Caenorhabditis elegans: one gene and its partners. The protein of the gene in region 2 interacts with the protein of the main gene of each other region in a pairwise test. Each region holds a gene or a part of one and is shown on either strand. Other genes may lie near its edges.

Evidence for each region.
Region 1: the proteins of mpz-3 (region 2) and F48G7.10 interact in a two-hybrid assay, tested with the Caenorhabditis elegans proteins (one large-scale study listed by BioGRID).
Region 3: the proteins of mpz-3 (region 2) and tag-250 interact in a two-hybrid assay, tested with the Caenorhabditis elegans proteins (one large-scale study listed by BioGRID).
Region 4: the proteins of mpz-3 (region 2) and F58B4.2 interact in a two-hybrid assay, tested with the Caenorhabditis elegans proteins (one large-scale study listed by BioGRID).

Annotation. Positions count from the first base shown.
Region 1 is NC_003283.11:633,393-636,590, reverse strand, and holds F48G7.10 (Phorbol-ester/DAG-type domain-containing protein), read left to right. Parts: upstream 1-1,635; 5' UTR 1,636-1,697; coding exon 1,698-1,872; intron 1,873-2,117; coding exon 2,118-2,449; 3' UTR 2,450-2,690; downstream 2,691-3,198. Other genes in the region: pals-31 (Protein containing ALS2cr12 (ALS2CR12) signature), read right to left, coding at 1-4.
Region 2 is NC_003280.10:6,563,235-6,567,074, forward strand, and holds mpz-3 (PDZ domain-containing protein), read right to left. Parts: upstream 2,163-3,840; 5' UTR 2,117-2,162; intron 2,087-2,116; exon of another isoform or gene 2,014-2,086; intron 1,920-2,013; coding exon 1,821-1,919; intron 1,638-1,820; coding exon 1,557-1,637; intron 1,508-1,556; coding exon 1,313-1,507; intron 1,269-1,312; coding exon 1,134-1,268; intron 1,085-1,133; coding exon 884-1,084; intron 816-883; coding exon 600-815; 3' UTR 560-599; downstream 1-559. Other genes in the region: F18C5.5 (Vegetative cell wall protein gp1-like), read right to left, coding at 2,310-2,433, 2,483-2,926, 2,968-3,034, 3,394-3,427.
Region 3 is NC_003281.10:7,918,884-7,926,510, forward strand, and holds the start of tag-250 (Putative protein tag-250), read right to left. Parts: upstream 6,039-7,627; 5' UTR 6,033-6,038; coding exon 5,939-6,032; intron 5,162-5,938; coding exon 5,038-5,161; intron 4,775-5,037; coding exon 4,693-4,774; intron 4,407-4,692; coding exon 4,319-4,406; intron 4,137-4,318; exon of another isoform or gene 4,101-4,136; coding exon of another isoform or gene 4,011-4,100; intron 3,967-4,010; coding exon of another isoform or gene 3,864-3,966; intron 3,660-3,863; coding exon of another isoform or gene 3,655-3,659; exon of another isoform or gene 3,624-3,654; intron 3,241-3,623; coding exon of another isoform or gene 3,170-3,240; exon of another isoform or gene 3,158-3,169; intron 3,035-3,157; coding exon 2,946-3,034; intron 2,896-2,945; coding exon 2,707-2,895; intron 2,398-2,706; coding exon 2,214-2,397; intron 2,208-2,213; exon of another isoform or gene 2,118-2,207; coding exon of another isoform or gene 2,054-2,117; intron 1,670-2,053; coding exon of another isoform or gene 1,460-1,669; intron 1,414-1,459; coding exon of another isoform or gene 1,352-1,413; intron 1,296-1,351; coding exon of another isoform or gene 1,257-1,295; exon of another isoform or gene 1,240-1,256; intron 1,121-1,239; coding exon 993-1,120; intron 944-992; coding exon 743-943; and 7 more. Other genes in the region: C29E4.14 (EF-hand domain-containing protein), read left to right, coding at 1,257-1,295, 1,352-1,413, 1,460-1,669, 2,054-2,117; C29E4.17 (Spiroplasma plectrovirus-related protein), read left to right, coding at 3,655-3,659, 3,864-3,966, 4,011-4,100.
Region 4 is NC_003283.11:10,917,056-10,920,063, forward strand, and holds F58B4.2 (Cytochrome b5 heme-binding domain-containing protein), read right to left. Parts: upstream 1,419-3,008; 5' UTR 1,347-1,418; coding exon 1,248-1,346; intron 1,049-1,247; coding exon 980-1,048; intron 754-979; coding exon 652-753; 3' UTR 537-651; downstream 1-536. Other genes in the region: Zinc metalloproteinase nas-31, read right to left, coding at 2,041-2,263, 2,309-2,500, 2,715-2,956, 3,004-3,008.

The DNA of each region.
Region 1 (3,198 bases), on a different chromosome or scaffold from region 2:
TCATTTTTCTGTAATTCAAAAAATAAGAAGTATACTAACATTAGAGGAAGGGTAAATTTTATGAAAATCCGAAACAGTTTTGATAAGACGAAAAAATTGTTTGTTCAATGTTCAATGTTGCCGAAGAACACTAGGGAGGTAGAGAATTAGAGATGAGCAATAGAATTGGGAATGAGAATCGGTTTTTTGTGTCCTCCATGCGTGCAAAGAGAAATTCAATTTGATAATTCTTCATTTCCAGGCACAATCATAGGAATTTTAGAAAACCACAATCATAGGAATTTTAGAAAACCACAATCATAGGAATTTTAGAAAATTTTTGAAACTGTCTGATTTGGACATTTTTGGCAATTGGAAACGAGAGTGTCGGTTTTACGATTTTTCAAAGCTAAAACTCGAAAAATGACACCGTTGATCGGCAACTCTGTTAACTTCTGAAATTTACCCTTGTAGTAACTTGGTGATTTTCGGAAATTTTTTGACCATTACATAAATGTTTTTTTTCTGAAAAAAAGTTTATAAAGCCTATGAGTGATTTTTTTTAAAGAAATGGTTAGTGTTTTCCGGAAACAATAATTGTTAGCAACCCTCTTCATTTAGATTTTTTAGAATCCATTATTGAACCTTAAAGTGCGAGATACCAGTGAATCCAAATTAGATGTAATTCATCGTATCAAAAAATTTGATTATTTTTCACAATACGTCTAACATATGACGGGTCTCTCACACTCTGCGTGTCCAGCGAGGTCACAAAATGCGTATTCGACACGCTTTTTGTGTCGGCCGCGTACACGGAGACACTCGTCTCGTGGGAAGAAAACAGTGTTGGAAAATTGGTTAGACAGTTTAATCGCACGGTTTTTATTAATAGTACCATCTTAAAACTGACAGTAATTTTTGGTCTGGGCTGATGTGTAAATCGTTAGCAAAAGTACAAAAACTTGCATTTCAGAATCAATCTCAAAATGCAATTTTTGCTGAAAATTTATAAAAACCTCATAAGAGAAAGGAAATTACCGTTTGCATTGAAAATGCCGTATATTTTTTTCGGCTAATAACGCAACTATTATATTTGATTATTTTATAATAAACTTTTTAACGATAAAAATAATTTTTAAATTCAACTCACATTTTCCTACATTTCAATATAAATTTTTCAATAAGTTGTTGAAAATCAGCTACTAATGTATCCTCAAATTTTTTGAAGAAATTTTTTTTAATACAAATTTAATACAATTTGTTTTCTTTGTGAAATTTTCATACTCTGATGTTTCTTTATTTTGAAAAAGTTTAGCCCTAATAGTGAAAAATCTTCAAAGAAAAAGAACCCAAAAGATTTAGATTTTAACAATTTCCTGTCAATATTTTGTTAGATTGCAATTGTGTGACCACTTTGAGTTTTCACCACTTTTGACTGCACAAAAAAATTTCAAATTTGTTTTGGAAAGATTTCCCTATCATAAATTCTTATTTTGAGTTCATATGAACTATTTCAAACATTTTTCCCATACTTCACCAATTGAACTTGTTTTTTTTTCGTCCCTACGTTGTAAAGAACCATTAGAGAACGTGGAGAGCGCAGACAACAAACAAGCAAAAAGTAGGCGGCGCCTCAGAGTCAGATATAAATAGAGTATCGGGATTTTCAACTGAATCTACAGCAGTTTTTCGCTCATTCACGTCTACCCGTACCAACAATGTCCACCGAGCCACAATTTGAAAATCCATTCATTGATCGTCAATTGGATGGATCAAAAATCCACGAAATTTCCGGGCACAGGTTCAAGGCCACGGCTCTTGTTCAGCCAACCTGCTGTGCAATTTGCTCCAAGTTGATCTACGGACTCGGAAAACAAGGCTACAGGTGTTTGGGTAAGTTTTTTGAATTTAATACAATTCCTTAAATTTTGGAAAATTTATTAAGCCCTGAAAAATTAATTCGAGTCTGACCCAGCTGTGAATTTAGACCTTAAATTCCCTTGTGGCGTTTTGAACTCGGGCAAGAGTAGAACAAGACTTAAGACTTACGTTAAGCTTCTCACCGGGGCCTGTATGTATCTGTGTCGGATGCTAAAAACTGGGCATATGTACATACTAAAGTCATTTTTAATTTTCAGGCTGTGAAACTGTTGTTCACAAACGCTGCCATTCCTTAATAAACGATCGTTGCAACTTCGGCCCATCATCTCCCCGCCAGCCACCTCCACAAGAGCTTTCCAGTGATTCTGGAGAGCTTCGGCACAGGATCCCATCGCCCACTGAGCCCCAAGTCTCCACCAATCATCACTTCAACAAGCATTTCTACACCCGACCAACGTTCTGTGATCACTGTGGAAGCCTGCTCTACGGGCTCTCCAAGCAAGGCGTTCAATGCTCGGATTGTTTGGCAAATGTGCACCATCGTTGTAAGGAGAAGGCGGTTCACAATTGTATTGTTTCAAGCCAATAATTCAAATAAGTTTTTATGATATCTAAAAATACCTTCTAGGCAGCATAAAAATGCCGAAATATGTTCCTATAAGGCACATAGGTAGGCGTTTTTTGCCTGCCTAGAAAACACATTTCACGCTGATTCTTACCACCCTGATCTCTTTTTCTTTCATTATTTTTCTTCTTCTCCATAACAAAAAAAAATGAATTTTCAATATTTTTATAAGACTAGAAAGTTTACCCGTGAGATAAATACTTGTATAAACACATTAAAAGTATTCAAACATTTCCGGATGCGAGAACTCGATTGAAAATACGTCAAACACTTTTGCAATGTGAGCTTTTTCTTTCAGCTCCCGAATGTGGGCTTCCAGCAATCGAACAATTTTCATCATTTTCGTCAAGCGGTCCGAATAGTGAGGGGTTCGCATTCTGTTCATGTAGTAGTTATGGAGATTGTCTGCTTGAACTTGAAGTATTTTTTCAATGATTTCCAGGTCCTGGCCTTCAACTTTTCTTAGCATAGGCTTTAAGCACAGTTGAATAAACATGTAGTTGAGCTCAACATTTGTTGGTACCAATAGAATCAGAGCATCTATAATAGCCGTCCAACTACTGATCCCGGCAAGGAGAAATCTGAATTTAAAAATTTACAATTAGCTCAACCAAAATTACTCACGGCTTCAACTGATCCATTGAGTGGTGTGTGCAGAAGGAAATATCAACGTCGAAATCATTAATATTCATACACTTCCCCTCGCCGACCAT
Region 2 (3,840 bases):
ATGAGAGAGTATATTGAATGACTAGGTTAAAATGGCCTATATCCCTCCGAATCAAGTGAAAATGAGAGCCAGTATGCATCCAGAAATGACAGATACACACTCTCATCCATTGCCTTTTTCCAATTCTCAGTCATATTTTGGCGAGTGAGAGCGGCGGGCGGACACGGACACGGACAACCAGACGCACAGAGTCGGTACCAAGCAGCACCGGCCGTCTCGTACGTCTCTCTGTCCGTGCACAGTGAGAGACAGGAAGAAAAACTAGTGGAAATAGTGAGTAGGACATAGAGACGCAGACGTTTGCTAGATGAACATTTGCAACTCTGTGAGACAACTAGGAGCAAGAAAAAACGGACGATGATGTGAGACTAGAAATGTTTCAAATAATGTGTAAAAGCTGTAGGTTTTAGATTCATGAGGGTTTCGAGGAGAAACCAATCTGGCATTCAACAATAAATAGAATTAGGCCTGCCTTTTTCAAATCACAGGTTGAAGGACCGTAAATATTTGTGTCTCTAGGCATAGGTTAGGGATGGATAGAACGGTAAACAACCAAACAAACACTTTTTGAAAACTTTATTTCGAACACTTTTCTCAAGTTAAGATCCCACACGTTTTGGAGTCATTTTCAGGGGCTTCGGAGACGGAATGTACGGGATGCGAACTTCTGGGGCAGGATCCGATGGCAAGGTGGCTGGAACTGGAGCAGGGGCTGATGCGGCGGTTGTTTTGATGATGCATGGAGGATTCTTGCACGGTTTCTTGTAGAAATCTTTGTTTGCCTTCATAATCTCCAAAACATCAGGAGGAAGAAGCTGCAAAGAAGAAAATAAAAACATGTTTTGGTAAATGAAATGATAAGAGGAAATGGGTTCAAACTGACCACATCAAACTGCTTGTTGGCTTTTCCTTGGGGTGGTTTTGGAGGAGGAAGCATCACTGAATTTCCAGATTTCTTCACTCCAGCAGGTGTGCTCTGTGCACCATCGGGAGGCGGTGGAGCAGGACCAAGTGGATCAGTAGTTGTGGATCTTTCCAATGTAAGACGGACCGTTTTTGTGTTGTTGACACTCGCGTAGAGAAGCTGAAAGTAAGTTAATTACTAAAATAAAATAAGAAAAATACTACAATACCTTTCTAGCAGAGTCACGATCAAGAACATAAATGTCATTAACTTTAACAAGAATATCTCCATCCTTGACATAGTGACACGCATTGGAAGCCGATTGAACCATTGAAATAGTCACAGTTTTTGGATCAACTGCCATCTGTAAATCATCCATGAAAGTATAAATTGTCCCTGATTACTAACTCTATGAATGATAATCCCTGTTGCAGCACCTCCACGATAAGTGAAAGTCAACTCAACCATTTGAGTATTTGGACGACGTGGTGGCATTGGTTTTTCAGTGACAAGGCAATGATCGTCTCGCATGAATTCAATTGTCACTTTTCCGGGAAGTTTTGCACTAATTGCACGGATAAAGTCAGCAGTTGTCTTGATGTTCTGGAAATGTTTGATTAGTTGAAACGGAAAATCTTAAAATATTCCTTACAGTTTCTCCATTGACATTCAGAATCTCATCACCAGCAAATAGAACACCCATCAGTTGGCTACTCACATCCACATATGTAATCTGCAATGTGATTATTCAAGATCTCTTCGATTTTTGAATTGAAAATGAGTCTTTTTACAGCCTCGAAGGAAATTGCAACCGGACTTCTTATTTATTAAAGAGTGTTCTACTGTTCTACACATCAGGGCTTTTGAAGTTTTATTCGGCTCTCGACGCGAGCCCTGTGTTGGATTCTTTATTTACCTTTCCATTGACCACATCACATGCTACAACCACATTTTTCCGTTCGAATTGTACTTCTTCTTTTCCTTTTACATGAAAACTATTGTTGTTGGTTGCCATCTGTAAATAGTACGTGTCTATCTCACAGCAACCCACTCTCGCGTCTCCTGTAACTAGTCGAGCGTCTATGCCTTTGGACCCAGCGCACTCGCTGGCCTCCTTAGCTCAGTTGGTAGAGCGTGAGACTTTTAATCTTAAGGTCAGGGGTTCGAGTCCCCTAGGTGGCTTGATTTTTTGCAGTCTGAATATTAACTTACCCCGAATAGATTGATGCGAAGATGAAAGCAACTGTCGACAAGGAAATATTTGAAACTGATTCAGTTTCTCTTTTCACTTTTTATTTTCTGATTTTTTTCTGTGTAAAACGAATTCAAACGATGTCACGCGGGTATATTTATTAAATTAATTAAATTATTTATTATTAATTAAAATTATTATATTTTGATGAGATCAATGGAATGGAACAATCCAATCAGCGTTGTCTTCTGCTTTTGTCACTTTCTTTTCACTTCCTCTTACAAACTTTGAAAGTCTTGAACGAATTGTATTCAGATCTTTGCTGTATGTTGGGGCGCTGAAATTAATTAATATTAGATTATTTTCTCCTGATTTGAGTAATTCACCTATGAGCTCTAGCTTCGGACGTTGTGTCATTATCAGATTCTTCAGTTTGAACAGTTTCCATAGCTTTTTCAGCTGGTTTCATAGTTGTAGTTGTGATTCCAAGAAGACGTTGGAAACTTGGTGGCATTGTCAATGCAGGCATTGTTGGCATTCCAGGAATTGGAGTGAAAGTTGGGAAAGTATGTGGAGCAAGAGTTGGAAGAGTTGGAAGGCCTTCTGCAGACAGGACTGGTACAGGTACTGGAATGAATTGTGGAAGTGGAAGAAGTGGTGGAAGAAGTGGAAGTGTCATTGGAAGTGGTTTAGCTGGAGCTCTTTTCACTGAACGATTAGCTTTTTGAGCTGGAAGTGTAACAACTGCTGGAGCACGTCGGATTCCTGTAGAAGCTGGACGAAGAGATTTAGCAAAAGGAGCATATGCCGATAATGATGGGAGGGGTGATCTGAAGAATAGATTAAAGAAAAAATGGAATAAATGTTAAACCTTCGAACATCTCCTCTCGGTCTTAAAGCACTTGCTCTCGGTACAACTTCATAACATGCAACGAATCCTGAAATGTTGAAATTAATTGAATTTTGAAGTCAAATATATTGATCAACTGAAAATTATATAGAAGCAATTTTTCTGGACTGGTTTTTTTTGCGATTTCGTGCAAGACGAAGAAAATATGAGAATCGAAATTTGGTTATTTATAGAACGTTTCAATTTATTGACGTACAAGCAGAATTCATATTGGGTAAAATTGTTATGACTAAGAAGTTTTGGATATGTCAAATAAATTAGTTATGTATTTTTCTTAATATTTTTTAAAACAAATTTGAACATATTTTAACCCAATTAGATAAATATTTCCTTTACCATTTAGAGCTAAATTTAGGGATAAATCAACGAAACAATCGAAAAACTAACCGATGACACAAACAGCTAACAGAAGAAGCTTCATTGTTGATTCTTTCCACAAAAATGAGAAGACGAAAAAGATAGAATAAGCCTCGAAGGCGTCGCTTCTTATCACTTTTCTTCCTACGATTTCTCGTTTTGCCCTTATCAATTAGCCATCATTTTGTGGAAATCTCAATGAAAATTCCCGTTGAAAATGAAAAAAGACAATGGATATCCACCACTTGTACACTGTCTTCAATAAGATGAAAGTTCAGCTAACATTAGTTTTTACAAACAGGGATATATTGGATTATCGTGATATTGAACTTGCTAGATTTTTATTTAATTCTATGTTGTTCAGAACATTAGTGTTCGCTGTCAATTTTTAACATATACTTTGTAAAGTATCCCACTTGTGACATGGTTTTACAACAATGCTATGCAAATTTGAGGACACTCAAATAATGGGCGGGA
Region 3 (7,627 bases), on a different chromosome or scaffold from region 2:
ACTCACAATTGTTTTATTTACTTTTTCAAAAGTGCAATTTTGAACAGGATATTTAAATTTTTCCAAAATCACAGTTCAATATTACAAAACTATTTTTGCAATTTTTTTCAAAGTTACGGTATTCGGTCTCGACGCGACAAATTTATGTTGAATGAAAAGATGTGTGCGTCTTAAAGAGTACTGTAATTTCAAACATTTTTACGAAAAACTATAAAAATTCCAAAGTAACGAGATCTTTTGATTTACAGTACTTTTTAAAAGCGCACAGCCTCTTGTATTTAATGAAAATTTGTTGTGTCGAGAACTGGTACAGTAATTTTCGAAAATTTTTTTTTCAAAAATTTCCTGGTACAGTAAATAAAATAATAAATAAATATACCTACCAATTTTACTCGCACGAATACACTGAACACGTTCCCAACGATCATCGATAAAAGCCGCGTAGAATCTAAATTTTCAAATATTTAGCTTAAATTTTTTCAAATCAAAAAAAAAAGTCTCACCCTCCAAAATCAGGAGAACTTTCCAGTTGAGAATCAGGCAGAGCACATTCGTCTTTCAACTTTGCATACATATAATCGGGCATCGGGTCTAATGAAAGTTGCCGTAATGAGATGTCCGTGGGTCCTGCAGCGAAAATTGCATTTGCTGGGAACGCTGACATCGGCATTTGAGCAACGGTCATTGGTTGGATCTGAAAATGTTATTCTAAAATTTCTAAACATCAATAGAAGATATTTACCGTCGCAGGTTTGTCAAAAAGACATGTCAAACTGGATGTTGAAGCAGAAGCCGGAGTAATAGGTGAAGTTGTTTTTGTTGGAGTACTCAATCGAACAACTCCAGATGGTTTTTTAAGAAATTCGGTAATTGATAAGCCATCAGAACTTTGAAGATCTACAACTGGTAAAGATTCGGAGTCTGAGGAGTCAAACTTTGAAAGCTGAAAAAATATTCGTGAGATATTATACTTGTAAATAAATATTACTCACTGTTAGATTTATCGGAACCTGAATTCCATCATCTTTTGTCTCGAATGTTAAATCAACAAATTTATTATTCAACCTCAATGATTCTTCTTCACTGACATCCATACGAACTTCTCGAGCCATTGATCCGACTGAAAATTCATTGAAATTTTAAATTAAACGTGAAATTTATAAATTGATTTCTCATACTTTTTTATATTTTTTTTCTTGGTTAATACACGTTAGCAAAAAAGAAACAAAAATCAAAATTAGTATCACTTTTTGAAGATGTTCAGCGCTCTTTTTCTGTTAGCTCTAGTGGTTTTGGTGAGTTTTTAAATATTTTTTTCAATTATAATTTTTTTATAATCCGACATTTCTAGACCGTTAACGGGTTCGATAGGAAAGTACACAGTTTCGCTTCGGATGATGATTTGAGTATTGAGTGAGTTTGAGATACTTCCTTTTTTGAATTAACCTAACTGTTTTAGACATCTAAAAGATCATTACGGGAACAAGATTGAAATCGAAAAGCACACATCATCGAAAGATCGAAAGTTTTATTATTTTAAAGTTGGTGACACCAATCAGGATAATCATTTGGATGGTGTTGAACTCTTCAAAATGATAACGGAACACTCGGATGAGAAAACTAAAATGGATGTAGAGATGATTGAAGTACAAGCTGATCTAGTTCTCAGGTATTATTAAGACGCACAAAAAGGCGTCTTTATTAGAAATTGAAATGATAGAAATTGAAGTGGAAGCGCGCTACACTGCCAAATAAAAGTGCTCCGCCCACGACCCATAGGTCTCGTTAGGTATAATTTTCAAGCATTATACGCCTGTTTTGTTATGTTTTCCGTTAGCTTTATTGATTTTGAAGTTATAAAAAAACAATAATAAAAACAAATAACTGCTTAAAAATCGGCGAAATTAATTGAAAACGTTTTGCCGTCAAATACCTAACGAAATACGTGGATTGGGGGCGGAGCGTTGTCAATTGACCATACATCTCGTTTCCATGTCGATTACAAAAGGGCTCTCATCATCGATAATGATATTTCAAAAATATACATTTTCAGCGAACTCGATAAAAATGGAGATGGGATGATCAGTTTCAGCGAATATTCAAAGAAGTTCTCATAGACTCGAATATTGCTTTTTAATTTTACTCTATAAATTAACTTTCTACCTATTTTTGTGATTATTTTTAGATTTTAATAAAAATTTAAAAAAACTCACTTGACATTACTGGATGCACAGCAGGTGGTAAGAGTCTTATCGCCGCCACAGGGAATTTCTCACAGACGCCAACATCCACAAAATGGCACATGACTTGTCCGGATTGTGGTGGCTGCTTGGCAATTACACGAAACCATGTTCCATTCGAATCTTGAAGGGCATAAGCTCCACCAGCCACAATTTCCTGTAATTAATGAATACAGTTGTCTCATTTATGTAAAAGTACCAGGGCTGGGCATTTTTTGGATTTTTCGAACCAAAAAGGCAACAAAAAACCACTTTGGAACTCCAAACGTTTTTTGTAGATCTACAAAGTATATTTTACAAGTTTCGGGTTTTTTATAGTTTTTAATTCGTTATCCGAAATATTAGTTTTTGAATTCTTTTATTCATCTTTGTATGTTTATCAAAAAATATTTACGTTTTTTAATTGTTTCAACAACTTCAATTTTTTTCTTTTTTCGTCGGAAGCCAGTTGAGCACATGAACTTACATAAATTGCAACTCGACTATCGAGTGCCGATGGCGGAGTTTCTTGAGCATAAATCTCAGCGAGCGTAGTTCCAATTTTTTCATACTGATCGTCATCCGCGAGAGCTCGAATAAAGAATCTCTTTGGCGAATCTGCATAGACGATTGACACAGTTGATCCTTCTTTTAGAGCGACAGATTGTTGAGAAAGCTGAATATTAAATAAAATTGATCTTAAAAAATTGAATTTAAAAAACATACCGTTTTTGCATGCTCCGTTGGCTCATTCTCTTTTCTTTGTTTAATTTTTTTCAACTCATCCGCAGTTGGTTCTCGATCCGTGGAAATGACTGAATAAGTATTGAATGTTTAAATGTTTCAAAAAGAATACAAAATATTTTTAGAAAACATTTGGTGCAGAACAAAAAACAAATTACGAGTGAGTATATAATTACACAACGATTAGAACTCACTGAAATCGGAATTCAATTCCTCCATATTCGAATTAAGGTTAGAGAAGACAGAGGGGGCGTGGTGTTAATGCGAATTGGGCAAGCTGAAAGTAGGGATTAGATGAAGCATCAGCAGCAGGAGGCTTTGGATGATGGGATCAATTTCATGCAATGAAGGGATAGGCTAAGCAAAGAATAAAGGGGATTGGACAGTAAAGAGGTGATGTTAATTAAGTCGTTGAAATGTGAGTATATATTAGGTTGGGAATACTTATGACCGAGTAAATAAATAGAAGAATTGGCGGGAATTTTTAATTTAATCGTTTGTAATACTGTTTGAACAGGTTCCTTTGATTTAGCAATTATTTACTTCATCACTTTTGAAATAATCAGAATTAATTTCTAGTATATTTTTTTTGAAAAACGTGAACTTCATATTGTAGTAATTTTTTACAACAGTGGTTTGTCAAGGGACGTTTTCCTTTTTTTTTAACAATTTGTGTTTCAAAAAGCTATTGATGAGGTAAGAATTTTGTTTCGACGAATCTAAAATAGTCTTAAATTAAGAAATATCATTTAAAAAATCAAAAAAGAATGAAAAATTATACACACTTTTTAACCTATCAGACAGATTTTTCATTTCTTGTCGATTTTCATCATTTTTTCGTATTTCATGATTATTTTGAGTAATTTTAAGTAAACCCCTCATTTTCCGTTTTTTTTGCAGTTTACCCAATGAAATAATCGAATGGATTTTCTTGGGATCCATCCTGTTGCTCACACTTTTCTCAATAATTATGGGTGGTTATTTGACAATGCGGATTAGGAGGGTATTTTCTTTTTGAATTTATTCAGTTAATTCTAAATATTTTAGATGGGCGGATTCAATCTGAAAATTTCATACAGGCCACCGGATTCTGAAGCAGAAACTAAGAAGAAGAAAAAGCAAAAACTAATTATTTGATTTTTAAATATTTTTCGAATAAAAATAAATTAGTAATTTTACTAGTAACACTTCAAACTAATAATTTAGGTCGAGGGACAAAGAGACATAGAAAGGACAAGAAAAGGACAGTTATTCTGTATGTGTGTCCCCGTTTTCCGACAGCATGTTCACATAATTGTTATTTCTTTTCACTTTTTGAGTGTCTATTTAAATGTATTCAGAATGTATTCATTCACCTCGTACATTTACTGAATTTATGGGTGGTCTTTTGAACGATGATGTGTTTGAGAGACGGACGAACAGTATGGTGATGGGGCCGCGTGTCTGGAAATTGCTTTTTTTGGAATAATTTTTTAGTCTTTATTTCTCGAAAAGTAGCGGTTTTCATGAAAAATTACGATAATGGGTCTCGGGACGATTTGAAATTATTTGCGCTACAATATGTGAAGAGTACTGTAGTTATGACCATTGAAGTCGTTTTTTTTGTTTTTGTTTGTGTCGTACTCGTGTCGTACTCGTGAATGGCGCACACTCTTTTAAGTTTTCAATCGCGTCGAGACCGGGTACCGTAATTTAGGTGATATAATACTTTTGATAGCTTAGAATATACCTGAGCTTCAAACTCTTCTGCAGCAGTGACTTGCTGAATCCAATCTTCGGGAAGTTCACGTCCAAGTCCTTTTGAAACAAATCTGAAAACCAAAAAACTTTTGAATTTTCTAAAAAAAACAGTAATTACTATCAAGAGCGCCATCGAAAATTTTTCGCTTTTTCTAGAAAAATATCGACAAATCGAAAATTTATCAAAAATACATAGATTTTGATATTTTAATGATTAAAAAATAACATGTATTTTTTAGTGGTGAAACGATCCGGAATTATTAAAAATTTGATTTTTTTTTTCGATTTTTCTTTGAAAAAAACATTTTGAAAAATATCTACAAAAAAAACCTACTCCTCATGATATTTTTCCGAAAGATGAGTTGCTGCAACACCCATTGGAAAATTAGTTTTGATCATCTCATATAGAACTTCTCGAATCTCTTCCATTTCTTCCGAAACATCCATGTCCGAGTTAACTGAAACCATTATGATGATGAAATGTGACTTTTGAAAACAACAAAAAAAAAGTAGAAAATCGGAAAAATTTTCGGATTATTTTTGTTTTCTGTTTGAGTGTGTGAGAATTGTGATGTTTTTGTAGTCCGACAGAAAAATCAATTTTTCTGCCGGGAAAGAGAAAAACGAAAAAAATTTATTTAGCTTTTCAATACTTTGTTGATTTTTTCTTTGTGATTGTTAAAATAACAAAATTTTTGCCTATTTATTTTTAAAAAGATTTTTCATTTTGATTTTTCATAGTTTCTCGTTTTCCAAAATTTTCCAACTATTTTTTAATTTTTTTAGGTTTGCTTCAAATTAAAAAAAAATAGACCGTAATTGCCGAATAAGCCTGTTAAAAAATTTAAATTATTTTTCTAAATTTGTTTTTCTTTAATTTTTGGTTTGAAAAACTGATGACAACCTCCCATTTTTGGAAAATTGAACGAAAAAATCGAAAATTCAATGTTTATTAATTTTTTGTTGAAAATCCCTGACATTACTGACAACTTAAACGTTTTTTTTTTCTGAAAATTGAAAAATCTATTTTTAAAAATTCAGGAATTTTTTTTTAATTTTTAAACGTTTTCAATTAACATTTTTTAATAATTTCCTCTGCTGGAAAATGCTTTAAAATTTGTCATATTCACCAGTTTTATTTTTGTAAAATTGAAAAAATCATAAAATAATTTTTTTATCAGTCATATTCGGTCATTACTGTCCATTTTGTATGATTTATAGAAAAAAAAACTTACTTCGATCAAAAATGGTAGACGGCACCAAACCATTAACCGCCGACATGAATTTTGCAGACGAAGATGATGACGTGCCATCTGGCGGTGTTGTCATCTGAAAATTGAAAGAAATATGGAAATAGAGGTATTGCTTGGAGAGAATGCAGAATGCAGAGGCAAGAAATCGAAGCAGTAATTCGAGAAGGAGATGGGGTGAATCAAGTGGGGGATTAGATGGAAAAGAAGAAGAAAAAGGTGGTGAAGACTTGTCACACACTCATACTTTCTTTATGCAATGTGTATCTGGATTGAATTGTGAAACAATAGAACAATTTTATAAATTTTTTACAAAAAAATTGGTATTTTAGCGCCAAAAAATGCAAAAAAAAAATCCTTAGTGTACTTCAAACATTTTACATATTTTCCAAAATATTTTTTTGAGAAATATGTTTTTTAAATGACTTTTTTCTAACAAGTATTTATTTTTGATATATTTTTCAAAGGTTAATTTGCTAGAATAATTACAGTTAGAGCGCAAACTCAAAAATGTTCAAGTATCGAAATAAATCCAAATTTGACTTTTTTTGTTTCTCGAATTTTTCTTGTCTCAGCTTTGATTGTCAGTTAACTTTTCTTAAAAGAAAACAGTAAAAATAAATCAATATAAAAAATTGGGGAAAACACTCAAAAAGTTGAGTTTGTCTTGACGTGGAAATGAACGGAAGGCAAACATGGACACGGCCCTTGTTTGACACTTTCTTTCGCAATTTCTTCGCCTGACTGTTCATTGTGCATTAGAACAAAGGTCGAAGAGTTCATTGATCCAGATCTTTGGCGTTTTTTATTCGCAAAAATATAGAGAAGATTACTGATACTATAGGGTCAAAACCACTTCTATTTCAAAAAATTTAGAATTTAAACAAATCTTCAAAAGCCAAAAAAAAAAAAAAAAAAGAAATACATTTCCTGTGTACCAACTGAAATCACAACACCCTATTCCACGTGTGTGAAAGTTTAACTATAGACCAGGAAAAACTACATCGACACAGACTGTAAAAGGAAGGAATTATATATTCGGTTGCTTGTCTCGTTGTTCCCATTGTTCCAACGAGGAGAGGGAATAAAAAGTGGCAAGAAAGAATGAGATTTGTTATTATTTTATTATTCGAATGTGAAATGTAGGTGGATAAAATAAAAGTGGTGAAATTCAAATATATCTGAATAATTCAGAAAACTAATTTCTAATACCAAGCTGGTCCACTAATCAATGATAAGCAAATAAAGTGAACTGTTAAGACAATACGGACCGCATGGGAAAGTAAGCAAAGCAGAGCTATACTCAGAGAGACGCAGACACATATACAGAACACAGTACATGTAGATGGACACGTCGATTTTCTTTTCCGTTTTGCGCCAAATATTCATCGGATGAGAACGGGTGTTTAGAGGGGAAGACAACGGAAAATATCACAGGGATTTCGGAGGGAGAAGCATTGAAGAATATTGCAAAGAGCTTATGTTTGTACAGGCGGACAGAGACTATTGCAGTTGCATCAGTAGATACAGTGGAAACATTTTGAAATTAAAATCCACGTGGGAAATCTAACAAAAATTAGAAAATATAACTTTTTTCCACTTCCACGATTTTCAAGGAGGTGCATTTATTTTAGAATGGTCTCGCCACGCATTGCGAACTAACCTAACAAATTA
Region 4 (3,008 bases), on a different chromosome or scaffold from region 2:
TTCTAACTTTTCGCATTGTTGTATCATGTTTCAAAAGACAATAATAAGAAAGTTGAAACATTTCAATAAACACATTGATTTGAAAAACTAGCAACAACAAAATCAAATTTTTTTGATCTGGCAGAGTTGGATCTAAATAAATCTCTGTAAACTGTTGCTTTTACTCAACATTTTTTTGTAGGTTGTCTGCTATTGTCTGCTAGAATAAGTTAAATGTTAAAATGTTTAGTCTGCGACGTTGTCCAAAGAAAAATGCAAAAACATTATTTGAAGAATTAGAAACAAAAAGGTAGACTAATAAAATATTACTATGAATAGACATTCAAACATTTCAAAAATTTTAATGACCGGGATCCTGTTACCTACATAAGCTATTGGCAAAATAAAGTAGGAATTTTAAATGACCATAAGGGATTTAGTAGTAAAAAACCAAATATCGGTGTTCTTATAGGTTTGTGGAACATATTTCACTCGTTTCTTTTATTGCACTCTAAGTGAGATAACACTTTTTTCTTTACACATCACCCTCTCGTCAGTGATTTATTGCAAGTCAAGAGCTATTGCGTGTGATCATGTGCATCTTCAACAAAATAGTCATATAACTTTATGATTTTGAAACTGAACGTTCAATTGTTTAATATATGTAGTAAATTATTCCTTCAATTTGCCAATCAAATGCTCTTGAAGTTTTTGTTCCACGATTTTCCAAGCAATGCCATGAGATACAACAAATGGTAGAACTGTTGTTACGTCCTGGAAAAATAATTGTTGGGAAACAACGTTGAAATAACATTTACACAATGTCCAAGTTTTACTGTTTTGTGTGATCTGCATTAAAAAATTAGAATGAACTTGAAACAAATAATGCAAAATTTTTTAAAAAAAATTTTTATCTAAAAAATTGCCGTTGGTTTTTGCATAAATCAATATTAAAATTTTGATAACCAGCTTATATGTAGTAACTAAAAACAAGGCTTACCTTTCCTGCATATCGAAGAATTGCTAATCCTCCAGGGTGTTGGTTGAAATATGGAGTCATATTATAAACCTGAAGAAGACATTCATCATTAAATAATACCAAAATTCAGATGTTCAGAAATGTTCTAATTTTTCTATAATTTCATTCATTTCAAAATCAACAATAAAAGTTCAATTAAACGATAATTTGCAAACCATGGGATTTATGAAATATCCAATGGAATACTTTAAACTTCAATATTTTGTATTTTTAAAACCGCAAAAAGTACCTTGTCTCTGAACAAAAGCCACAGATCATCGTGAGTGCAATGTTGTTCCACTTGACTTCTTGTATATTCTTTCAGATTATCTTCAGTTTTTGCAGTCATTCTTCTACTCAAATCGAGAAAAGAAATAAAAGAGGATCAATGAATGGAGAGGTTGCTATGAGAGCACAAGTTGAGAATAAAAATACGTGAGAGAACGGAAGCGACGTCTGGTCTTGGCATCTTGGTTCAATGAATAATTCAGCGTATTTGAATTTGAGACGAGATAGCGTTTCCGTAAGAAGCCAAGTGCACATTTTTATTCATTTTATAAACGTGGTATGCTTTATTAGTCCTTTGGTTATAGCATAACCATCTATCAAGATCTCAGTAAGAAATTATGTAGTCCGACATGTTCAAATTTGAGAAATTTGAAAAATCTTTTTAACATGTGAAGAAGCATGGAAATTGTTTTCTAATGTAATAAAACACTAACTTTTAAAGGGGTTGAGAAAAAACCCGAATTTAAACAAATTTTACGAATTTTTGTGAGCATATGTTGAAGATATTAGAAAAAATTATGGAAAAACACTTCATTTTAGTTTACATACAATGAAAGGTAGTGCATACCCGTTTCTTTTCAAATTGATAACAGGTTCAAAATTAGTAAAAATTATTATTATTATTCATCCAGCACAATCCACAAGTATATGCACAATAGTAATGACGAGCTTGCATTGAGTAGAACGGATTAACACAAAAACCATTCCATGCATACGCGGCACAACTGTAAATTAGAAAAAAAAACGAATAAAAATTAGAAAAACCACATCCATGGCTTATTGTTATTTGAATTTGAGTAGGGGTAGTAATTTTTGTTTTTATTCGTGTACCAGTTATTGAAACTATTGTAATTATTATTGAAAAAGTTAGAGCCAAAAGGCGATGCATTATTATTATTACAATCGTGACATGTGAATTTACAATTACTCCTAATTTTTTTACTTCGACACATGCCGAAAAACTTGTAAAAGTCGCAGCTGAAAATGAGAGAACTTTTGAAAATATTTGGAATTTAAACTTACTTCGGATGTAAATCCTGGCAACTGTTAACAATCGGTGCAAATGTTGTGTATGTTGCTGAGACATCAACAGATGGAGTTACAGCACGATACTCAAGAACAGCTTTTGTACTAGCATATCGATTGAATAAAATTATTGGAACTAGTGAGCCAGTTGAACGATGCACAGTGTTTTGGTCTGCAGAAGAGCAGTACCTGGAAAAAATACTCGTACATATACATATGTTAAAGTTGAGGAAATGGTAGTTATTTCATTGTAGCAAAAATAATTTTCGAAATCTGTTTCTGAGAATGAAGTGTTCCCAAGGCCTCACCGACCAATACTGGGCAATTAATTGAAAGCCTATATGATATCATTAATTTTCAACAAATTTTGTTCAAAAAATCTATAATTTAATTGATAACTAACCTGTAACCTGTCAACTTCTGGTCCTTGTGAGTCTTTATTTCGACTCCTCCAAAAATGCATCCATCAATTGTAACAGTTGTTAATCCTGATATTCTAATCTCTACCGCTTGATTATCTGGTGCTTTCACCCAATAATTACACATTGTATGGTTATCACGAAGTGTTGGAAGTCCATCTCCAATTGTGTTTGTTAATGTTTGCCATGTAGTCGTGGCAGTTACACTGTCACCACATCCAGGAGGCTGGAAAGGTAAAGATGACCCATTTGATAAAGCAGTTCACAACTAACTCTTT